4 linked regions of the Arabidopsis thaliana genome follow. The protein of the gene in region 1 interacts with the protein of each later gene in a pairwise test. Each region holds a gene or a part of one and is shown in the gene's direction. Other genes may lie near its edges.

What was found.
Region 2: the proteins of AT4G00870 (region 1) and AT3G24490 interact in a two-hybrid assay, tested with the Arabidopsis thaliana proteins (one large-scale study listed by BioGRID).
Region 3: the proteins of AT4G00870 (region 1) and BNQ3 interact in a two-hybrid assay, tested with the Arabidopsis thaliana proteins (one large-scale study listed by BioGRID).
Region 4: the proteins of AT4G00870 (region 1) and AT3G18240 interact in a two-hybrid assay, tested with the Arabidopsis thaliana proteins (one large-scale study listed by BioGRID).

Annotation. Positions count from the first base shown.
Region 1 is NC_003075.7:360,224-366,370, reverse strand, and holds AT4G00870 (basic helix-loop-helix (bHLH) DNA-binding superfamily protein), read left to right. Parts: upstream 1-2,661; 5' UTR 2,662-2,731; coding exon 2,732-2,992; intron 2,993-3,130; coding exon 3,131-4,141; 3' UTR 4,142-4,438; downstream 4,439-6,147. Other genes in the region: AT4G00872 (Plant invertase/pectin methylesterase inhibitor superfamily protein), read left to right, coding at 1,635-1,855, 1,930-2,224.
Region 2 is NC_003074.8:8,906,354-8,912,723, forward strand, and holds AT3G24490 (Alcohol dehydrogenase transcription factor Myb/SANT-like family protein), read left to right. Parts: upstream 1-4,068; 5' UTR 4,069-4,668; coding exon 4,669-5,670; 3' UTR 5,671-5,870; downstream 5,871-6,370. Other genes in the region: MSH7 (MUTS homolog 7), read right to left, coding at 6,065-6,370.
Region 3 is NC_003074.8:17,587,989-17,593,578, forward strand, and holds BNQ3 (BANQUO 3), read left to right. Parts: upstream 1-2,555; 5' UTR 2,556-2,740; coding exon 2,741-2,869; intron 2,870-3,317; coding exon 3,318-3,467; 3' UTR 3,468-3,682; downstream 3,683-5,590. Other genes in the region: SRO4 (uncharacterized protein), read left to right, coding at 4,783-5,261, 5,355-5,590. UniProt on the Arabidopsis thaliana protein: Atypical and probable non DNA-binding bHLH transcription factor that integrates multiple signaling pathways to regulate cell elongation and plant development.
Region 4 is NC_003074.8:6,252,068-6,259,457, forward strand, and holds AT3G18240 (Ribosomal protein S24/S35), read left to right. Parts: upstream 1-2,774; 5' UTR 2,775-2,789; coding exon of another isoform or gene 2,790-2,863; 5' UTR 2,864-2,958; coding exon of another isoform or gene 2,959-2,995; 5' UTR 2,996-3,085; coding exon of another isoform or gene 3,086-3,234; 5' UTR 3,235-3,742; coding exon 3,743-3,983; intron 3,984-4,207; coding exon 4,208-4,609; intron 4,610-4,935; coding exon 4,936-5,350; intron 5,351-5,426; coding exon 5,427-5,628; 3' UTR 5,629-5,643; exon of another isoform or gene 5,644-5,724; 3' UTR 5,725-6,023; downstream 6,024-7,390. Other genes in the region: AT3G18230 (Octicosapeptide/Phox/Bem1p family protein), read left to right, coding at 1-638, 1,115-1,904; AT3G18235 (uncharacterized protein), read right to left, coding at 2,605-2,662, 2,790-2,863, 2,959-2,995, 3,086-3,234; AT3G18250 (Putative membrane lipoprotein), read right to left, coding at 6,110-6,340.

The DNA of each region.
Region 1 (6,147 bases):
TGAAATTTTATAATTTTATTAATGATTTGGAGAAGAAAGTAATTTTACATTTTTCCATTTTTATTTTAAAAATCATTTTTATTTTAAAAATCACTTTAGTTCAGGTTTTTTGTTGCTAAAATGTAAATATTCATAAGAATAAAAATGTTTAGGTTTACAGTTATATATTTTAGACTTATAGACTTGGTCTTATGGCAAAAAAAAAGGATTAAAACATGGAAGGAAAAACAATCAGTTTGTCGACTCAACGTATGCTATGAAGCAAACAATGTTAGAGAAAAAGATAAAGTGATACAAGATTTTGAAGTTCCTCCAAAGTGAGTTACAAAAGATGAAATTTGGCAATGAAAATTTATAAAAACTTCAAAAGTGGAAGCCTTTCACTGGAGGCCAATGGACTGATTCTATCGGCTTTGCCAAACTATTCTACAACAGGTTAATCATTTGGAGAAGAAAGTAATTTAGTGGTTATTTCACATATATACCACCATTCATCAATATAACTTCTATGTTACGTTTCCGTTCATAAAGATATGTGAAAACGAAGTTCCTGTAAATGAATGATTAAGTTAAGAAATTTATTCGCTAAATCTATAAATTCATCTGATCAACATTGTTGTCTACGCAATTGTTGTTCATTAAATCTTTACGGTCACAAAAATAACAACCTCATGATATGTTAGAAAAACTTTAATCATACACTTGCAAAAAAAAGTGAAGCAAAATCTACCATAAATATGCAATTGTGCAGTGGTCTTCTCCTCTTAATTTTGTTTGAAGTACGTATATTCGAAACTTTATTTCGATTATAATTTTTCGTACGATTCTTTATAAGTAAAGCAAAATAATGATGGATTGAAGAATCTTGAAAATGGAAAGAAATGGACGAGAGGCTTTTGACCATTTGTATGGCCAGAATAACAACACTCACTACCAAATACAATAACGTGATTTTGTTTAATAGATTAGATGCGGTAGGAATATATTATTCTTCGTGAACTAAAACCATGTTTTATAACGACAAAAAAAAACCCATGTTTTATAAGTTTATGGGCCAAAATTGGGCTTTTGTATTATAAACATGTTTACGGAAGTATTCAGCTAAGTATATATAAAAAAAAACAATTACACTAATTTATTTAAATTTTATTATTACCTACTTACAATTAGTAAAATTTAAAATTAACAAAAAAAAAACTTTTACTTACTTTTAGTTATTGTTTTAAGAAAAAACATCATTAATTACCCTACTTTTTTTTTTAATACTAGGAGGTTCTAAGCCAAAACATCTTAATTATTATATTGTTTATATGTCTAATAATATCCATAAATGTATTAAAAAAACTTAAAACATAAACTAAAGGGTAATAGATCATAATATTATTGAATGGAGTAAGAAAATGTATAAATTATAATTCAAAAAGAGAACTATAATCTGCTTTTCTACCCAAATGAAGTAAAATAAGACATCAATTTGCATTTCAATGGTCAGTTTTAAAGGTAAAATTAAAGACGTTAAACACGTGTAATGTAAAAGAGATCACTCATGAGTCATGACCAACCATATTCTTAGTTTATATAAGTAATTCACACCCCTTAAAAAGAAATATAGTCTATAATCAATCATACTTAGCATGAAAACGATGATCAAGTTTCTGCTGTTAATACTGGTGATCTCTCCTATGTCGATATGCGCCGAGAAGGACATGATGATAAATGAATGCCACAATGCAGACGTCCCAGCCATATGCATGCAATGTCTTGAATCCGACCCAAACTCCATTCACGCCGACCATATAGGCATAGCTGGCATCGTCATAAACTGTCTTGAATCCCACCTCCATATCATCACCAAGCAAGTTTTCACTTACAAATTATAACCAATATACAGAAATATCCTCTAATATATCAATTTTTTCATTTGTGTAGTAACATAACGAATTTATCGTCAAAGAAAGATAAAGGTGAAGTGAAAACAGCTCTGGAGATTTGCAAAAAAGACTTGTCGACGAATGCATCTACAATACTGTCGGAAGCCAAAACAAGTTTGAAAACCGGTGATTATGATAAAACCAACAAATCGATAAAGCTTGCGCTTGGCTTTCCTCTGAGATGTATGTTCAATCTCAAACGTGTCAAGTTCACGTCTCCCCAACTATTTAGTCAAATCAATATCTATGCTCAACTCTCTGACGCTGCTATGAGGATCATTGATCGCTTCTAATAAGTAATAACTCCTTATTGTTTTCTATATAACTCAACTTCGATCAATGCTTACCCCAATTTGAATAAATCATTTCCTTTATGAAATTTATAAAGTCACATATATCCATTTGTTGTAGCTCTCATGTTTTTTTTTTCTTTTCAAATTTGTCAAAATAAGTTTTCGTTTGAACCATCATTCAATATAAATCTAAATGATATATTGTCTTTTTTTTTTTTTTTTTTTTGGCAAAGAATGATATATTGTCTATTTCATCAAAGTTGGACCACTATACGATAAATTGTTGTTCTTATAACGTTAAAGTAGGAAAACAGTTCAGTTTTCACGTGACTAACTTACTACTATTGGAATATTTATCATAAACTTTAATTCACGAAAATCATTAATGAAAATTTGATATTACTACTATAATATCGTCTTCTCTATTAATTTAGAATCTTATTCATCCTTTTCCACTTGTCTTCTCTAACCCTCTAAATTCTCTTTGGTCGGGATCACTGGAAAGAAATGTATAATCTCACTTTCTCTCCATCATTGTCCTCTTCTTTGCTCTCTTTTACACAACAAACTCCTGCAGCCATAGTGTCCTCTTCTCCTCCGGATTTAGTACTTCAACAAAAACTCCGGTTTGTCGTGGAAACCTCACCGGACCGATGGGCTTATGTCATTTTTTGGCAAAAGATGTTTGATGATCAATCGGACCGGTCTTACTTGGTTTGGGTTGATGGTCATTTCTGTGGAAACAAGAACAACAATTCCCAAGAAAATGTTCATTTTTCTTTGCCTCTTATGTTATCTAATCAAAATATCCAAAATTTATTTAAATCAACTTCTTAAAAAAGTTCTATTAAGAAAATAATATAATTTTCCTTACCCTTGATTTTTTGTTTTTGTTTCTTTCTTAAGTATACAACAAACAGCATCGAGTGTGAGCTGATGATGGACGGTGGAGATGATCTGGAGTTGTTCTATGCCGCATCGTTTTACGGTGAAGATAGATCGCCGAGAAAGGAAGTATCCGATGAATCTTTGGTTTGGTTAACCGGTCCCGACGAGCTCCGGTTTAGCAACTACGAGAGGGCTAAAGAAGCCGGTTTTCACGGGGTACACACATTGGTCTCCATACCCATCAACAATGGCATTATCGAACTTGGTTCGTCTGAATCAATTATACAAAACCGGAACTTTATAAACCGAGTCAAGTCCATATTCGGGTCGGGTAAAACAACAAAACACACTAACCAAACCGGTTCTTACCCTAAACCGGCGGTATCAGATCATTCGAAAAGCGGAAATCAGCAATTCGGGTCGGAAAGAAAACGGAGGAGGAAACTTGAGACGACAAGGGTAGCTGCGGCGACGAAAGAGAAACATCATCCGGCGGTTTTGTCCCACGTGGAAGCGGAGAAGCAACGGAGAGAGAAGCTAAACCACCGGTTTTACGCTCTACGTGCCATCGTACCAAAAGTGTCACGAATGGACAAAGCGTCACTTTTATCCGACGCAGTTTCGTACATAGAAAGTCTTAAATCCAAAATCGATGATCTCGAAACTGAGATCAAGAAAATGAAGATGACGGAGACAGATAAATTAGACAACAGCAGCAGCAATACGTCTCCGTCTTCCGTTGAGTACCAAGTTAACCAGAAACCTTCAAAATCAAACAGAGGCTCTGACTTGGAAGTGCAAGTGAAGATCGTCGGAGAAGAAGCCATAATTAGGGTTCAGACAGAGAATGTGAACCATCCTACGTCGGCATTGATGAGTGCGTTAATGGAAATGGATTGTCGTGTACAACACGCGAACGCGTCGCGCTTGAGTCAGGTTATGGTTCAAGATGTTGTTGTTTTGGTTCCAGAAGGATTAAGATCGGAAGATAGGCTTAGGACCACACTTGTCCGAACCCTAAGCCTATAACAATTTCTTTGTTTTGTGACGTCAACATAGGATGTGATAATAATTTTTGTTTTTTTTTGCGACCTTTTGTTTTATTTGATAAGTACTAGAAAAATCAAATTCCTTCTAGCGATTAATGTTGTTTTATCAAAAGTTTGATCTCGTTGATACGTAGTTTATGTGTTACTTTTTTACTTTATTTCTCGTACGTACGTACTAGCTCGCTAAAAGCGCAAAGTGTTTGGTATATTGTCTTACTAAAACAATATAGAGACTGTATATTTTAAAAGAAACAACTCATTAATTGATCATTTGGAAATATTAGTTTGAAAACCATAGAGAAGACGGAGGAATTATAGACACACACACGCTTGTCCTATAATATTTAGGACCACTCTTCAGTGATAGCTTGCTAACAAATCAAGTCAATTACGTAATGAACTACCAATGCTTTATATTAATTATTCTTGGACGTACTGTTATATTAAGACACTGATTGGTTAATTTGGGGAAAAAATATTAGTACAATGCACAGAAAAATAAAGGGTACAATAATGTTGAGAAAAAAAAGTGGTACAATAATGCAAAGAGAAGAAAAGGGTACAATAATGCAATTGAATTGTATCTTTCTTATTTTGTTTGCTAATTACTAATTGCAAAAAATGTTTTTGTGCTTGAAAAAGTAATCATTCTGTATCTAACATTCACATATAAAACAGAACTAAACAATTTTGCATTTACTTAATGAGACAAAAATGTTTTGTTTTATTTGATGATCATGGTTTTATGTTTTTCTAAAAGAAATTAAAATATGTTATGCAACAAACTATCATGTGTCTATGTATACATAACCTATGATACAATATAGTTTCGACCTTAAGATTAAGTTTCTTTGACAGAAAGTCAGAAACAGTTATCTTTCACATGATCCCTTCTTCAATCCTGCTGCAACGATGTAACGGTTATGCAAAAATTTACTGATAGGTAAATCACATGAAAAATGGCCACATGCAAAAATTATGCCCGGTTCCAACTTCTAGGTTAATATGGTACTCAACAACAAAAAAAAATATTAACAATAAATACGTGTTTGTCTTCTTCTTCTTTATAGATGTTTCACTTTATAAATAGACTGTAAGTTTTTAAAACGCAATAAGAAAAACAACTGAAATCATTTTAGAAATCTTATGCGTGCAGAATAAATATTGGTGTTATGTGCATTTGAAGCTTTAGGCTTTAGCACTTTCTAAAACCTCGTTTTGAGCAAAGTCATTCAAAAGGAACTCTTAATATTTTTACAAATTGAAATAGCAATTGTAATTTAATCAGTAAAACCTCTATAAATTATCATGTTTATTAATTTATAGAGACAATATTTGGGCTAAAATATCAATTTGAGAACGGAAGAAAATTATTAATTTAATGAGATATTAATTTATTGAATATTAATTTATAGATTTTTGACTGTATATATTCTAAGCTTTGTTTTAAGAAAATTTAATCCGTTTAAAAAGATTTATCTTCATTAACCCCAAAAGAAATGATTTGTTTTAGCTTGGCCAATAGTCATGTATGGCCCAATCTGGTATAAAATCTCATAAAAAGTTTTATCTTCATTAACCCAAAGAAATGATTTGTATTAAGATGGGCCAATAGTCAAGTGTGGCCCAATTAGGAGTAAAATCTCATAAACGAAATGGGCCCATAATGGCCCAATATTTGTACACCACAATCGGAAACCCCTTTTGGGTCATTTCAAGTTTGACGAGAAACGTAAATCGCTATTTCTTCTATTCCTCCCTAAAAATCTACCAACGAGATTCTTCTCGAAAATTTCCTGCGCCTCTCCGTGTCTGTGAAATCGATTCAGGTAAATCACTCTTCTCGAATCGATGCTTGTTTTGTGAAATACCGATTCTATCAGATCTATTTGATAAATTTGTTGTTGTTGTTAGTCGTCTGTGTAGTTTATTCACCTTTTGTTTCGATTTTTGGGTCCTCACGAGATCTATGAATCGTTATCTGAA
Region 2 (6,370 bases), on another chromosome or scaffold:
TAAGAAGTATGTATAACTCGTCCTATACACACAAGTTTTGTATCCTGACACTTTTTCTTGTGGGCCAAAAGGTCCCATAAATAATGCAAACTTCACTAATTCACGAGATCGTGTCTCCATATGAAGGAATTATACAAGTATTCAGATCTTGTTACAGTGTAAAATATTGAAAAAGGTGAAAGTGTTGCACTAAAAATCAGCCGTTGATGATTGATGAAGGAGCTTAGTATGGAGGATCTAGAGTGAACCATGCAAACATATACATATTTTTGATTATTTTATTAGATTTGTACGTATTGTATATAAATTTGGAAATTATGCATAATATGCATAGTATTCTTTTCCGTGGAGAAACATATAGATTTCTCACCTGAGCTTATATGAAAGTAACCACTATTTTTCTCATCACAAATCTCGCAACACTTCTTAATATGCTAGTAAAACTATAATGATCTAACGATTGGTACTGTTTTATTCTTTTTAAATTTTAAACCAACTGCTATTTTTAATACTCAAACATTCACTTTCTTAAAAACCAAGTGCTTCTAATTACTCTTAAAACCTAAATTATACATTTGAATCTAGGTTATCACTTCTCTTGTTAAATCAACAATGCTATGCGGTTAAATTTTGTCATGAATTTTTGATTTAAATAATAGAACGAGGTGATCAACATTTTCATCTGTTACCGGCTTCGTCTATATGAGGAGGCCAAGTGAAAGAAGTTATAATAACTAGGTAGGTCGCATGGTAAGTTTCCCATGAAGTCTTCAACGTCTTTTGTCCACTTGATTGTGCGCTAAATACTGTGTGAACATTCATTCATTATCTTAAGAACCCAAATGCTTTTAATTACTATTTAAACATAATTTGTACATTTGAATATAGGTTATCGAGTTTCTCTTGTTGAGCCAACAATGCAACATCTTTATTTCTGCCATTTTCAATTTAAAGAAAATGAATAAAATAAAATTAAGTATTTTGTTATTATATGCTTAGTCTTGTTAATGTAATTATAAGGAAGATAATGTTCCTTAATAGACTAGATGTGATTCATGAGAACCATGCACAAGAATTCAAAAACCCTAGAAGATTCGATGGTAAATGACGGATCAATTAGCAAAATATTCATGTACATTTACTATAACGCTATTGTATCTCTAGGATTATCGGGTTCTTGTAATGGATGATACACCACAAACCTTTTCTATATTTGTAATGCATTATGATTGACAAAAAAATAGTGTTCCTTGATTTTTTTTCTTTTTTTTGTGTGTGCATCAAGTGTTACTTGTTAATTCATTATTCATTTCATTATGTTTCTCATACACTCTAGCCATCTCTGTTTTTTTCACCAACTAATCATACAATTTTATAAATTTGGCGATTTTTTTAAAAAATAAAGACTCTATAGTCTATTTTTGATAATTGTATGTAACATTATGTACTATGAAAATATCATGCAATTGTGAAGATGACAAGGTTGTCATATCTTCTTATGAGGTAAGAAATTATTTCTTAGAGTATATGATCATTTGCTATTAGTTGTATTTTCTATCCTTCTATAGATATGTGAACTTCATTCTCTAGTTGAGTATGTATCAGAGTTACTTTTACCTTCCAGTACTAATGAATCTGGAAGCTCACACAGAATAAAAGTTCTTGCGTAGAGAAATACAAAATCTTAGTGCTTAGATGAACATTTGACCAGTGAGGTGAAGCAGACCACTATGGTTGAGATCATCTACTAGCAACCAGACCATCCAAAATCTCTTTTCTTCTAACCAAGAGACCAAGTCAGTGTCCCATCAAATTTGTTTTTTAATTTTTATTTTGGTTAAATATCAAATCCTTTATAACCAATTTCTCTTTTCTTCTCCATCCAATAAGTCTTTTCTATTTGGAATCTCATGTAAATCAAAGTGCTTTACAACTTTTTGGCAAACATTTTATCTTTAACACTAGACCAAAAACTTCCTCATTAATTAACTAAACTATATATATTATTGGCAATAGAGCATCCTGCTTTCGTAGGAATCCCCTTACCAAAAAAATCACCGAAGATACTTTTGGACTATATATTTGTCAAATCAATAAATAAAAATAAATAAAAGATTAAGAAATAAATGCTCAAAGCCTCAAAGTAAAGACAAAAGACAAAAAATTGGTGAAAGCAACATAGTTGGCATTGGAGTGAGCGAACGTAACCACTCATAACGCGTTTGAAAGAGATTGTTGTCAAAGACTTGAGAAACTTCGTAACGGTTTTATGATCACTCATTGACTCTCTCTCTCCGTTACACTTATGTTCTCGACGCGACCTTCCAACCATAAAATACTAATTTCATTTTTATTTTCACTTCATCGATATCTTGTGACATGTAATATGATTGGCTTATCAAAAATCTTTCATACGAATTTTCAAGTTTGTTCACATCTCTCTCCCAAGATATCCGTTTAGGAGCCTAGGACCGTTACTTCACTTTATTATTTTCATGTGGAGGAACTGTAATATATATCACAATTTTGTTGTTCTTGTTGATTGTGTAAATAGTAGTACTGGATACTAAAGAACAATGAGTATGTATCTCAAATATTTAGCTCAACCGTTTTATAAAAATACTATATTATTACCTTAAAATTGTTTGTTGCTTTATCAGTATTAGGTAATTATGAGATGTCACTGTTTAATCTATTTAAACGTTTTATGAGTTACATTAATGAAAAAAATCTGAAAAGTTAAAATTATACGAATACATACCTGTCTGACTCTACCTACTGAATTTTGTAAAACAATTTGTTATATTTTATAAGAAAGTTGATGTTGTAGTGTTTACTGTCTCATAAAAAACAATCTCTATTTATTTGATTTGAGACTTGAAATTTTTAAAGCTTGTTTTAAACTATACTGTTTTTCTTATAAAAAAATTGTATTAATTTTTTTTATAAATGAAACTGTTAAAAAAAATTGAAAATTTAGAGATCAAAACTAAACCTTTATAATCATTGAAATATATTGGTACATCTACCCACAAAACAGGTCAATCGTCTAGGTTTAATTATAATTAAGCCTAACATGTTAATGAGATTCAAACGAAATTAAAGTCCACAATGCCAACTCAACTCAAGTATCAAATCTTTTTCTTCTTTTTTTACTTAGCAGGAATACCAAACTCAAGTATCAAATCTTTTAAAATTTATTTTTTACTTATGTCAATGTGGGAATGACCGAGTTACTTAAGAGTTATGATTAATATTAATTCTTGTTTCTAACCAATTCATATATCATTGTCTTGGAAGCTTCTTCATATCAATGACTCAACTCTTAATTTTTTTCGAAAATCTGTTCTTACAAGGTCACACAATTCAATTTTTTTTTTGTATTGTAAATGTTTATCTCGTTATATTTACACTAACGAGATTTAAACACCTAAAATCAAATTGTACGAGACTAGTGTTAGTTATTCAATAGTATGATGCATTGATGCAACAAAATTCGTTGCGATTATTTATGATCCTTATCACTACCATGATCATTTCCATTAAGGTTATACTTACTTCCTTTTTGATGCATAATAATTACTCACCAACATTGAAGCGTGGTCGACATTTTCATTGGCAATAAGCATAACATTCATTTATTTATATTAAAACACAGAAACAAACAATTATTAAATAAAGAGTTCTGGCATTTCTCTATTTTAGTCCACTTAATTTAATACTATCATCTTCAAACAAGATTTCATCATTAATAATTTAAAAAATTATACGTTACATAGTGTATTAAATGAATTATCGTTGGGATACACTTTCACATTTTTCAAAAACGTATGAATCATAATGTGACACATGGAGATTTCCCACAACCGAGGCTCCCATAGTAGATGCTTATGCAATTCATATTCTTGCAGCTTAAACTCTTGCAAGTTCAGTAATAACACCGTGATATGAAAAATAAAACTTAGCCCTTTTTAATTTTTGAACTTATTCAGATTAATTAAAAGCATACGTAGCATATTTAAGAATATAAAGCAGAGAATCAAAATAACATATTGTTTCAATGGCACCCATTTTAGCTAGTCGATCAGTAACTGCATTCGCAGATCTTCGAACCCACCAAAAATCGACAGCTTCAAATCCTTTGAGCCAATATGACGCTAAAGGTCAAAATATTATGACCCTAAATGTCAGAAATTGACCCCATAAGTCATAAGTTAACCGACACCAAAGCTGATATTCGTTAGAGTTTAGACTCTCCTTTTCTTAATGATCGTTAGTTTTAGTTGGGAACTCTTGGGCTATCGGTTAAAATTAAATAATTGTGGTCCTCTTGGCCCATTAGTGCTGTCCAAACTGGCCCAATATGACCCAGTGGATGGTCCCAACAAACGCCGCGACAAAACTCCGTCGCTGGCTGAGGCAATGTTCACCGGTGGTGGTAGCTTTTCTTCTACTCCGACCCGGCTGAAAATGCAAATCCCTAACCCTAGACACGGCCATGGTTTATAAACCTCATCAATTTCTTCTACTTATCTCTTCTCAAAGCTAAACCCTCCAAGATATTCCTCTATTAGGTGCAAAAATCAGGTAAATCTCTATCTGTCCGATTTGAAACCCTAGATCTGCCTTTCTTCTCTCTTCTTTTGCTTTTCTGGGTTTTGCTCAAAGATGGGTGACAGCGAAGATGAAACAGGATACCCAAAAAAGTTTTACTCTTTGAATCGGCAAAACCATCCAATGTATAGTAGACCAATACCTAAGCGTCACGCGTATTACAATGAAGAAGAAGACGAAGATGAAGTCGAAGGAGAAGAGGAAGATCCACAAGGAGGATACATTCGTGGAAATGAGAGGTTTCAGAAGAGACAGAAACCAAACAAAGTAGTTTCTGGGTTTGAATTTGCTGGTCCTAGTGATGCTAAAGTTGCGTATGATTGGAGAGAGCAAGAAGCTTTTGTGTTGCTTGAAGTTTGGGGAGATAGGTTTTTGCAATTGGGTAGAAGGAGTTTGAGGAACGAGGATTGGAATGAAGTAGCTGAGAAAGTGAGTGAGGAGCTAAGGATGGAGAAATCTGAGACGCAATGTAGGAGAATGATTGATGACTTGAAGAGGAAGTATAGAAAAGAGAAGATTAAGGTTGAGAAATCAGGTTTAGGTTCAAGTAAATGGTCGTTTTTCAATAAGTTGGATATGTTGCTTTGTGTTTCGCCCAAGTCGGATTTAGGTTTAGCTTGTGGTGTTGATTCAGGTGAGTTTGTGTTTATGAACACTAAGGTTTATTTAGATAAGTCTAATGGGTTTGATGAGATGATGGATAGTCCTGGTGATTCTGAAGAGGAGGAGGATGAGGATGATGAGGTTGAGTACGAGAGGAAGAAGGTTAATGACGCTGCTTCGTATAAGATGTTGGCGGATTCTGTTGAGAGGTTTGGGAAGGTTTATGAGAAGATGGAGAAGAGTAAGAAAGAGCAAATGAAGGAGTTGGAGAAGATGAGAGCTGATTTTCAGAGAGATTTGGAGTTGCAGAAGAAGCAGATTGTTGATAGAGCTCAGAGTGAGATTGCTAGGTTACGTGAAGAGGAGGAGAATCATCATGGTGGTGGTGATGATGATGAGAGTGAAGATGAAGAAATGGAGAATGATTCTGATGTTAATCTCAGTGATGAGTAAGTTATAAACTATGTAGGTTTGTGTTGTTTGTAGATGCAACAAAATATGTTCTGTTTTTTTTTTTGGTTTTAGGGAATTCAGAACTTAAGTCTTATAAGTTTTGTAATTTGTGTTTGGTCTTTGCAACTTTAGTCGAGGTTATTTGCAGTTTATCTTGAAACTTAAATTAATGCATAAACATATTTCCTTCTTAATATACTGTTTGTGAGTATTTCTCTTGACCAATCTCATGAACATACATATATTATATACCATAGCTAAACCGACAGATACATATATAATCTTGTTATAATCGAGGAAACAATTTTTTGATATATAAGCATTTTTTAAGAGGAATAAACATCAGAGAAGCAAAAGACTTAACGAGCTTCAGATAGTGTTATGTCATAGCCATTTATTTGGGAACACAGTAAGAGGATTTGATCTCATGCCATAAGCAAAACAAAGTGTCGTAGTCATCTTCGCCAATGGGGGCATTGTTGTGGGCGACTCGAGAAATACCCACCAATGACTTGAGCCAGTCTTCATGCAGACTTGAGAACTCAGATCTTAGCTCACTTGACTTGAAGTTTTCCCCAATTGATCTCTTCATGGCTTGAGCAGCACCTGATGCTGTTTCAACCACTTGGTTTGGTATTCCAGCCATGAGTGCCACTTGAAGTCCGTAGCTCTCAGGACAAGCTCCCTCGGTTAAACGGTA
Region 3 (5,590 bases), on another chromosome or scaffold:
TCTAATTTCCCAAGGATTCTTAGTTTGTGTATTTCTAATGTCCTTTGTATTTCTTATAATTTTGTTTGGCACGGATCATCTCTGTTTTAGGTTCTCTACTTTTTGTAATACATAATCTTAATCATCTAATGATATTATTTGGAATGAAAAAAGTGGAGCAATGACATTTAGCAAGAAACAAGTTTCTGTTAAAAAAAAAAAAAGTTTCTGTTTACATTTGAAAAATTTCAGAACTGATTATTACAATGAGAAGTAGACTTGAGAACTTGTAATCAATTGAGTGTGTATACCGTACGCTAAAAATTAATATTATATTAGAAAAGTTAAACCAAAGAAATAAAAACTAAATTAAAAGAGAGTACACATCGTGATTCTTCGCTGTATATTCCAAAAACTCATGTGCCCCGACGAGAGCTGAGATCCAAGCTGACCACGCAATAGTACCGTATATTGATTAGTTAATCACAATTCACAAATATTATTATTTGGATATTTTTGGGTTACATTTTATAGTTTCTTTTAATCCTCGGATTTTTAATTACGGATTATAAAAAACCAAAACAATACCTTAAGTTAGTAGTTTGAAAGTACACATATACATATTTAATCACACAAGTTGAGACGACCAAAAAATTTAATTTAATCACATAGTTTGCAAGATGTGCTTGTTTTGATCTGTCAAAAGAGGAATTGTCTCTAATTTATTTCCAAAATTATGAACACTCATATACGGATGTAATGTACATGTATAACTTTTATTTATTGTTTCACCTTATCAAAAAAAAAAAAAAACAATTTTAATAATTGTTACACAAATGATTAAACATATTTTATCGGGTAATGATATACTAATGAGTCATGAGTCCATGTGATTTTTTATTTTGTTTTTTGATCTAAAGATTCATAACTTAAGTATTCTGGTGTAAACATAAAAAGAAAGCAATTTTTTTGAATAATACAAAAAAGAAATCGTTTATTTTCTTAAAACTGTAAATAAAATCAAATGAAAATGTAAAATAAAATAATAAAAAAATGTAAAACAATCCACATATGAAAAAAAAATCTATTACTAGATTAAATCTAATAACGATTTAAAAATAGACAATACGTGTTCGGAATTTGGAATCAAAGTCCAATTTTCTCTTCTAACTTCTTAATTAAAAAACAAACTTTTAGTTTACAATTTATTTAATGAATTAAATTAAAAATATATTTTTTCTCAATTGTTGGTGTAACCATAATTAACTAATGGAATTTTTTGGAGAAAATATTAATTACTTCAATAAAACGAATGTTATTTATTATCTAAATATAAAGATATTACATGATGGGAAGAGAGACGGGTTACCATATAGTTTGATACCTAGACAAATTTCTGTCTGTAGACTATAAAATTATTTATAGGAATCATTTCCATTGATTAGAAATTCTTGAGATATAGTGATAAAATTGTCAGATCTAAATGGATAAATAATCGAGCGCTTGATTGATTATTCCAAATTTGCAATATATTAATCAACTGATTGATGCCCATGGTATACAAATAAAAATGGAAGAAAGACCAAACTAAGGTACACTCAAAATGGAAAAGACTGATATTAGAATTGTTTAATTTCATCTCTAATAAAACTAAATCAACTTAATTATTTATGTTTGTCTGTACATGCTCAAATTAGTATATGTACTAGATCAAGTATGTAACTATATAAATAAATTAATCTTGCAATATAACTATAGAAGTTGATTAACATTTCCAGGAGTTAATCCTAATTTTACAGTTCTTGGATTAATTAAGATATCATACAAACTAATCATAATTTGTAGTCTAGTACCAAAGTTTGTATTATCACCAATTCCAGAATTTATGCAAGTTTGCCGATAAGTATGACAAACATGCATACATATTCTCTTTGTCTTATAAACCCAAAATGTTTTAGTATACTCTATTCGTGCCAAAAAAAAATATGAAAGAAGGTATCCTCCAACTATAATCAAACATCACCTTTTAAATGATTTACTAAAATGGCACAAGATCACTCTTGTTCTGAAGTTGGTTACTAGTGAAACATATATAGAAAAATGAAAACTGGATTAGCAAAAAAAATAATGTGGAATTAAAATGAATTTTAATCTTCTATTTTATAATGAATTGTAATTGGATAAATGGAAATGTTTTTCCTATATAAGTTTAAAAACATAACGAGACGAAAATTTTCTACCGTTAACAACAAAGATGTTCTTGCAAATAAGATAAGCGTTTTTTTATTGCACAAATATATCTATAAATTTTAGATAAAATATAAATTCTTACCCATTGAGATTTGCATAATACTATTCAGAGTGTTTTTTTTCCCTTTCGTTAAAGACTACTAGTCAGAGTGTTAATCTAGTAATTCACCAATTAATTTAACTATACTTAAAAATATTACAGTTTTTAGGAAACATGCTAGAAAAAACATATATAATTTTGCAATTATATTATTCCATGCATACACATGTAGAGCCAAAAACGGAGAAAAATCTTCTATATAAACACAAGTTGAAACCATTCATGTTTATTTTAAGCAGTTGCAGTAGACTCTTCCACTTCTGTATTCAATTCTTCCTTCTTTTTTCTCTTATAATATAAATAACATACAAAGAAAATACTTGCACTCACAAATATTGATTAAAGTTAATTAGTGAACCCTAAGATTTATAAATCTCTAGCTATACTCTACCATATCATATATATTACATAATGTCTAGCAGAAAATCACGTTCAAGACAAACTGGAGCTTCCATGATCACGGATGAACAAATCAACGATCTTGTCCTCCAGCTTCATCGGCTTCTCCCCGAACTTGCTAACAACAGACGCTCTGGAAAGGTACAACGTTCTAATCAATTTTTCATTATGATTCCTTTTAAAAAATTTAATTTCCTCTTTCAAACCTTAAATCTTTTCTAAACCTTTTTAAATCTTCCTTGGATTAGTAGTGGGTACTTAAAAGAACAAACCTCCGGTTTAAAAAAAATAAAAATAATAACTAATATATATCCTCCATCAAAGTTTAACAGTAATTCTTTCATCTTTCTGTTGTTGCAAACAAACGAGAGTCTTTAGTTAGAATTATAAATAAATATTAAACTAATATTCCATATATTCCAATATTGCATGTATGTATTGATTCATTTGATTGTGATGCATTTTGTGACGAGTGCTAAATTTTAATTTCCAAACTAATCGACAATAAATAGCATGCTGCATGCATGATAATTAAATTGTTAATTATATATAAGATCCTTCTTCTTATCAATATATTGGTTACTTTCAGGTTTCAGCATCAAGGGTATTACAAGAGACATGCAGTTACATAAGGAACTTGAGCAAAGAAGTGGATGATCTTAGTGAAAGATTGTCTCAACTTTTGGAATCAACTGATTCAGCTCAAGCTGCACTAATCCGAAGTTTGCTTATGCAGTAGAATTAGTGCAATAAACGAAGGATATTTTTTTCTTTTCTTTTTTTTGAAAAAATGTCTTCTCAGTTTTAATTCCCCTTCTTATTGTATTTATAATGTCTGGCAGCTTGTGTCCCCTGTTAATTATGCAATGTTTTATTTTTAATATATGTAGGGTTTTGTTTTTGTCAGTTGTTGAACGAAGCAAATGGTTTGGGTTTACGTTCACATTATTTAAGGCAACACACTCAATATATGGGCTTAGGTATTTCTTAGATTCTAGGCATTCCAACCAAATCCATCACATTTTAGTAGCAAAAACATTGATTAAATTTTGAATTTACGAGAAGAACAATGTTTTCTAGTGTCATGCATATACGATTATAACGGTGTTTTTGTAGTTAATATCGATAGGAACTAAACTAACGCAAGTCAAATTTTCTGATCAAAATTAGTCGTTAATTTCGCTTAATGGTATAAAGTATATTTTAAGAAGGAATAAAATATGCTAATAAGCCCCCACGGTTTCCATTTCTGGTAACAAGAATACCATTCAACGTCTCGATCAGCAGCAACGTTGAATCGTTGATATCTATATATAGAAGTATAGAACCAAGGGGTAATTTGGTCATTCCAGTTCTAACCCACTTCTATTACAAGAGCAGTTTACTACGTAAAAACGACCGGCCTTCCACTTTCCCGAAAACAGCCAGCGCCCGCACGTAGAGATTTACTGCATATTCAGTTTTCAGTAAATAAATAGTCCACAAAATTAGTGGCCTTGCGTGTAAAAAATTAAATTTCGAGATGCTGTTTAATAAATGTATTTATTGCAAATAAGAAATCAGATAGCCTTTAATAGTTGACAAAAAATAGCCTTTTATATTTACAAGTTCGTGTATTTGTTAATAACGTGGGATTAATGAGTTTAATGTAATCGTGACAAAAACAAAAGTGGGATTAGTGTAATCGTGTGAATGTGGACACTTCTCCTTCACGGCAAAAGGCACAAGACGCAACAAATATTTTAATAGAAAAGAAAAAAAACGAAAACAGACAACAAAACCCAAAACAGGAAGACTTAAACAAATCAGAACACAGTGTAAGAAAAATCTTTTCCATAACTGTATTTTTAACTATTCATATATATATGTTTAGTCTCTCTGCAGTTTGAATTCAAACATTTGTGCTCTCTCATCTCAAAAACTACACTAAAGCTATAAATCATCAATCATCTAAAATCTTCAAAAAGGTTTTGATTCTGACTTCTTGGTTTTCTTTTTTGTAACGAATTCATGATTTTTGAGTCTGATTCTGTGTTTCCTTTTGTTTCTCAGCAATGGATTATTCAAAAACCGAAGAAACACCGATAAACGAAGAACAAGGGTCAACAAATTCATCTGAAAGCAGAAGCAATGAAGAGTTATTCTCTGATTGTGATCAACAACATTCTTCCATAGCTAACGAGTTCGGACTAACGGAGTTGCCTAAAGACGATAAAGTTTACGAGCTTATCTACCGTCATTGCCAATCTAAGCTAACTTCTCACTTAAGCAATCAGTTTGAGATTGTATCAATTCTCAAGAACGGATTTCAAACACCATTAGGACAAGCTAAGCTTAAAGCCTTTCAAATATACGCTGAGTCTGTTGCAAAGAAAAGCGGCAGCTGCTGTGGAAACAAAGCTGCGGTGGCTGAAGCGGCGAGAGTGAAATACGGTTGTTGCGGTGTGGAGAAGGAAGAGTTAAAAGCGATTCTAATGTATGGATTTAGCAACAATGCCTTATGTCTCTCACCAGACAATGCTCCTCTTCAATGGTAAACAACAATATACTTTTTTTTTTCATTTTGCGTTTATAATCTTCAATGAGTACTCTTTATCATTAATGTTTTCTTTTTTCTTTGTATAAGTATGATAGATCCTTCATCATCTTGTAACGAAGACGGGATTAGCTTCTTGCTGTTTTCAAGAATTATTATGGGAAAATCAGAGGTTGTGTGCTCGACATCACAATCGTATCCGAGTTCTATGGAGTTTGATTCAGGTGTAGACAGTTTGACATCTCCAAACAAGTATATTATTTGGAGCACACACATGAACACTCATGTTTTGCCTGAGTTTGTTGTTTGCATCAAAACTCCATCTA
Region 4 (7,390 bases), on another chromosome or scaffold:
GTCGATGCTCTGAATCAATCTGGTTTGCTTCCTCGTGGTTTATCAGATTCCGCCGCCGTGAATAATACCTTGGTGAATCTCGACGAAGCTAGCGGCGGAGAGACCGAGATCCAAAACCTTGAAACTAATGTTGGTGGCGAGAACAATAAGCGAGGGGATTTGGTTGCTAACGGTGTGATTTCGCATCAGGAGATGCATATGAGCTCGATGCCTGATTCTCCAATGATGGAAGCCGCTGGTTCTTCGATAGGATCTTCTTCTTCATCTCCTTCCACATCCAATTTGCCACCGATTCGCGTTAGAGTCAGTGAGGACCAGAGGATAGAGGAACAATTGGCACAGATGACCTTCTCAAACATGCAAACTCAGAGGCAATTTGATGATGGCGTTAGCTTGATGGCAAATCGGCCAATGATGATTCCACCTGGTGCCATGAACGATGCTGCGATGGCGTATAACAACGCACCTGGTGATGGTACTGCTCCCGCAAGCAATGGCCATGTCTCACCTGAAGACGATCGATCCGAATTAGGTGTATCAACTGGCTACAGGAAGCCACCTTTGCCGATGCAACCAGTAACGATCCCACCTAGAACTGTTGGAGGCTATGGCTTGACATCCCCTGATTCTGTTGCAAGGTACTTTCATCTTCCCCTGGACTCTCTCTAGTTATTTAGGTAGCTATAATGATCTAGGTAATTTCTGATCTCAACTTCTTAGTTTCTCCATCATTTTCTTCAGCTTGCCTTGAATTTGTAGTTTCATTTGCACTGTTTCTGTTTCTGTTCTATAATCTTTACATGTGGTTTGTATTACATCTCTGATAGTGGCTAAGTAGCTAAAAGAAATAGATCATTGGTTTGAAGTATGGTGTATGAATCGATGATGGAGAAATCATCTTAAACTGTCAAATGCTTAAGAATTTTCTATGATCTTTATCATCATCTTTGTTTTATTACACCTTACAATCAGAGATTTTTCAATTTGGTGTTCTAGATATTTGTGTAGATATTGGTATACTCTTTGAACCATAACGTTACAAGAGATGTTAGCTTTATTCTTTTGAATATGATGATACTCAATGCTGATATTTCTTGTTGTTTATACATTACAGTGATACTAGCATTTCTTCTGCTACTTCATTTTCAAAGCCGATGTACTACCAAGACCAACCTCCAGCTCTGCCAAGAGCTCCTCCAGTGGCACAGCCTGAAACCACCTCGGCCCAAAGCTCTCAAGTCTTACCTCAGACTGAAAACACTTCAGCCCAAACCACCTCCCATGTCTTATCTCAGCCAGGTACGTACACAACTATGGATCAACAACAACAACAACCTCTGGCTCAACAACCTTTCTTACACCAAGGCGTTCAGTATATCCCTCACCCATCACAATACATACCAATTTACTCTCATCAGCAACAAAACTACCCTGTTTACGTGATGTCCGTCCCACAATCTCAGCAGTATATCCCAGCAGGAACTCCCCCGCTCTACCCGAACTCAAAACCCGGCACAAACTCGAGACCTGAAGCTGCCCAGAACGTTTACCGAGCTGCTCCCCCTCAGGTTATTCAGCTTCAGCAACAGCATCAGTACATGGGTTACGCTGGAGCTCCTCAACATAGCACAAACGCAAACGCCAATTACGGTACTGGAGCTCCTCAACATAGCACAAACGCAAACGCCAACTACGGTGGACCCTTTGAATACACAAACTCTCCAAACGAGACAGTGTATTACCACACACAAGCTCCTGCTGCAAACACTGCCATTCCATTAGCGTCTCCATACCAAAGCATGACACCAGCAGCAGCCGCAGCAGCTCTAGCCGATATGTCCAAGCAAATGGCTCTTGACGGCGGCAAACAGCAACAGCATATGGCTGCGTCTCAGCCGCTTTAAACGCTGGATCTTTGGTAATAAATGCGCAAAGTGTTAAGTATAGCCGACACGGCGCGCTCTGTTCTTTTTGCGTATTACATGTAACGTCCTGTTACATCTCGTTAGATATACATAGGATTTGCTATCTCGTTGTTCTTATCGTAGTTTGCTTATGTCTCTCTCTCTTTTCTGATAAATAAATATGTTTTGGATATTTTTTTAAGTTCTATATTGGAATTATCTTGATCCGAAGATTACACAAAAACTCAAGAAATGGAACACCAGTGTATACTAGATATAGAACTGTGAAGTGATCTGTTGAGGTTGCTTCATGCTTTGTCACTTTAAGTGATGCATTCAACACTTGAAAACTTGATATTGCCGCTCAGAAAAGAAAAAAACTCCATTAACAAGTCAAGAGAACAATTCCAGCTTTTTAAACACAACATAAATCTCCATTAGCTTCATTACTTATAAAACGTTCAATCACATATCTCCACCATGGCCTCTGTTAAGACCATAAACATGTAGCAGTGATTGAAGTAACCAATTCATCCTCTGCAAAACTTGATTCCTTAGCTAGCTTCTAGGATTTCCTCATGCGCATCGAGATCAAAATCCTTTGAATTCACTCGAATCATATGCATAAAACAGAATCATCTTAGCCTCTAACCTGAGGCTCTTTGATTCAACTTGTAGTCAATCTCACCAACAGCTTATACTATTGTAGATTCACGTCAATAACCTGATTGAACAAACCGAGTTTCAAAACAGTACCCCTGTTCAACCATCTTGTTAAACAGAACACACCAGCAACTTGAAACCCACTACTAGTAGTAACCTTTACCATGTCACTTATCAGCAAACCTTGTGATATCCCTAAGACACGCCCTTAAAACAGCTTACATATCAACTCTAGAATCCTTGATGTATCTTTCAAGCTGTAAAGAAAAACCTGCAATACTTCTTCTTGTATGCAACTACCAAAACGAATTTGGCTATTACACCATTCAATTTGCAGTCTTTAGTCAATGCCCTTCATTTTCTTAAAAACAAAATCCTTCACTTGACTGACCTGCAGATAACTTCCCATGAGTAGACACTTACGTTGTCTCGTCATCAACCAAGACAAATTTATGCTCATGAGTTGTTGTCTTCTAAATGCAATTTGAATCCTCTGCATTTGCATTCCTTTCTAGGACTTCTTTTCAGCTGCTAACACCAGCTTTGAGATGAGTTGTTTATCAGGCTTGATACACAACACTTTCATAGTCTTGAAGTGAAATACCTTGAGACAACTCCTGCAACACTTACACATGTCTCTTTTCAGTTCCTTCTTTAGAGAATTCATTGAACCACTTCAATAACTTCATCTCTATTTACACGTTAGTGTCTTTTCTGAAATTTGCAGCCAGCAACTCCTATCTAGAAACCTGCAATTTATTTCTGAAAAATCTGCAGTCTACTTCTAAATGACCTTACCAACAATCAGCTCCAAACCAAGCCTGTATCCACCTTGTACCATCTTTGAGCTGAAAACCCGTTGATAATAAACTGTTCTTGACTTGTTTTCTTATAAGCATATTGAACTTCCATGAATCTGATAAACTAGTGAATTACACAGCCCTTTAACTCTTTTATCTTCAGCTAACCTTCTAAGACAACATCCACAAACATAGCTCCACCATGAAAAAATAACAACCTTAAGTATATGTATTGCTAACTAAACCGGACAGATGAAACTAAACCGGAGATTAAGACATTTAACCAAATTATTGATTCAGGTTCTGTAGCAGATTCAGGTATGAAGAAGAGCTTTTTTCCTGTCACAACCTAAAACCCTAAATCTCTGATCCGCCATGAGAGGAGCTCTCTTGAGAAATGCATCTCTCTGCGCTCGCAGAATCATTCTTTCTCCTCGTATAACCCATCAGATCTCCCCCAATGTTCCCTTTCTCGCTCCAATCGCCGCTCCTGCTGCTCCCAAGTTCAGATTTTTCTCCTCCGAATCCGGTGAGAACTCGACTACGGCCCCTGAGTCTTCGCCGACTGATTCACCCGAGAAGAAAGATCTCGTTGTAGAAGATGTAAGCAACAAAGGTAAAACACACTCTATCCTCTTGTTTGGTTACCTCACACTTGAAATGGCCTTTGTATTAGTTGAAATGTGTGAGTTTAATTCTCATCTCACCATTTCTCAATACCTCATAGTTTTCAATTGATCCTTCGATACAAGATTCGTAGCTTCTTATCTCATGAACTAGTAGAATAGCTGTAGGTAATCGTTTGAAATTGACTTCATTTATTGGATTTTGTGGTCTCAGAGCTTAAAAGCCGTATAGAGAAGTATTTCAATGAGGGTAATGAAGATGCTTTACCCGGAGTTATTGAAGCACTTCTACAGAGAAGACTTGTAGACAAACACGCAGAGACTGATGATGAATTGTTGGAAAAAATCGAGTCTCTACCTTTCAAAGATGATGTCAAGGATGAAGATTTTGAATCCGATTTCGAGGAAGCACATTCTACTGACGAAGAACTTGAGGATTTGTACAATTCTCCCGAGTATGTAGCTGAAAAGATGAGGAAGAATGAGTTTTTCAACATGGATGATAAGAAGTGGGATCACATGATTAGAGAAGGTATCCAACATGGGTGTCTTACTGATACTAAAGAATGCGAGGAGATTCTTGAGGATATGCTCAAATGGGACCAGCTTCTTCCTGGTAATGGCTCGTTTATTTTCAATCTTCCCGTTCATCGACTCACATCCTTAGACATAGATTAGGTTGATTAATAGACTAATGTGCGTCGTTATAGCTAAACACAATCTCTTCGTGGAACTTAGCTTTTGTAGTTAACCTTTCTATTTGGATTTTTCTGAATCATGGTATGAGAAGTTGAGAACCATTCGTTTTTTTAACTCGTAGAAGGTAATGTACTATGCCAGATATGTTACTTCTCGGATCAGTAGGGCCGTTTAGAGAATATATTGGTTTGTTCCTGTGATGCGTACATATGAACATTTCTCTAACTGTGTATGTTCATTCAGATGACTTGAAGAAAAAGGTTGAAGCAAAGTTTAATGAGCTTGGAGATATGTGTGAAAGAGGTGAAATTGAGGCTGAAGCAGCTTATGAGCTTTTTAAGGAATTTGAAGATGAGATGGTAATTCAGTATGGGGATCAGATGGAAGCTGAGGGTCCTCCCCAATTTGGTGAAACAGATGCTTCCGATAGGAATACTGACTTGGATGATCCCCCTGGTAAAGGCCCAATCCTCAGGTGGCAATCAAGGATAGTTTTTGCTCCTGGAGGTGATGCGTGGCATCCAAAGAACAGGAAAGTTAAAATGTCTGTTACAGTGAAAGAGCTTGGGCTCTCAAAGCATCAGGCTAAAAGGCTAAGGGAACTTGTAGGGAAAAGATACCATTCGGGGAAAGACGAGCTTACAATCACCAGCGAGAGGTATATATAACTATAAATCTTAAGCTTTTCGTGAGACAAGAATGTTGAATCATGAAATGTTTTTGTCCTGTCACAGGTTTGAACACCGAGAGGAAAACAGGAAAGACTGCTTAAGAACTCTTTACGGGTTGATAGAAGAAGCTGGGAAAGCCAACAAGATCGCTGAAGACATAAGAACTTCATATGTAAAACAAAGACTCCGTGCCAATCCAGCTTTTATGCAGAAACTACAAGCCAAGATCATAAGGTCTAAAGAATCAGATGCCATCAACGCTTGAACAAAACTTTTCCCGGTTAGCGCCTTTCTTGTCTCACCAAATAATCTGTAGGATCGTCTTCTTTTGGCAATCATTTGATCCGTTATGGCTTTTCAGATCCATGAAGAATCTTTGATGGTAACTCCTATCTTAGTTTGGTTTGCTTGTTGTATCTCATGAAGACATGAACCTTGGCTGTGCTGTTGGTGTCTATTAGAGACTAGTTAACGTTTTCTCAGAATTATGAATCTCTCCTAAAGTTAAGGTTTCAGATATGTTTACGGGTTCAGAATGAAAGTAACCAAAGGAAAGAATTGGTACAATTTTTGTTTGGGTTTTGTATCAGATGTCTTTCTAATTTTTAAAGAAATTCAATCAGTAAGATAAGAAATGGAAACTAAATAAATTATTGCTTCAATATACGATAGCTATACATCTATAAACGAAAGTAAAATGGTCGGACTGTTCTGTTTATATTTTCCTGACGAAGAAAAATGAAATCTCAACCTCCACAACCACCACCGCAACCGGCACCGCCACAACCTCCGCCACCGGTAGAGGTGCCTGAAGTGGCTCTGTTGTCGGAGACTCCGTCGGCACAAGAGAATAACAGAGCGGAGAGGATACAACAACCGATCACAGCCAGGAACACAACATGAAACAGGTAACTAGCATCGAAATGTGTTGTTGTGGTGGCCATGCTCATTACATCTTCTAATAAGTGTCTCGCCATCTCTCTTTCTCTAGTTAATGTGGATGAGATTAAGTTGTTTAACGTGAAAAGCTTTCCTACTTATAGCCGATAAATTCGTACGTAAGGCCACTGACTTTTGATAAATTATTCGTTCAGTAGTAAGATTTCTTTGTAATTAAATTTTTCTTTTTAAGAAAAGAAGACTTATTTGTTAAAATATAGAAAAGACTGCAATACAAGACTTACCAGAAAGTCATCCATTTTAGTCTACTATTCTCCTCCTCTCAACTAAACACATTTGACTGCGGAATTTTGATGGAATCACGTATATTAGATGAAGATAGGACCCGGTTTATAATAATTTCTAGTTGAAGATTATGTTTCTTTAAAAATATAAAACTTGTAATTCGAAAGGCTAGGCTAATTTTATAGGTCAAGATTATATTATGCTTTTAAAGAAATTTAAAGTTCAATATTTGATAAATTACATACATAGTTCTAGTTAAGGTTTTGTCGAGGAAGTTTAGTTGAAGATAAGGATTTTTGACCATTTACATTAGCGTGAGAAAAGTCAAATGCCATAATATAATTATCATTAATCATAATGTATAAATCAGCTTGAATTGCCTCGTCTTTTTAAAAAAATTATAAATATTGAAGTGATTGTTCATGGCCTTTGTTAAATCCAATAAAAATACAGAGATTTTGTACTGTTTAGTTATTTATCATTGGTTATCATTGATTGTTCATAACTTTATGCATGAGAAGCTATTAAGTCTCTCTCTTCTATTTCACGTGGACTCCATTTTTGTTGTTGGTCCAAATTTGACTATGCAAAATCAAATTCTTATCAAAGGACTTTCGACGTAACCCAATGTTCTTCCCTTTTTTCTTTTGGCGTCTTATTCTTCTACCACTAACCAAATTTAATTCATCATGGATTATGTAATTTCGTAATCTAAAAGCTTCCGAAACATTTGACCAAACAAGAATATATAACTCCGTAATATATATTTTTATTTATGTATACAACTGCCAAAAAATACCAAACTTCCATTTTTTACCAAAAAAATATCAATTTTTTTATTT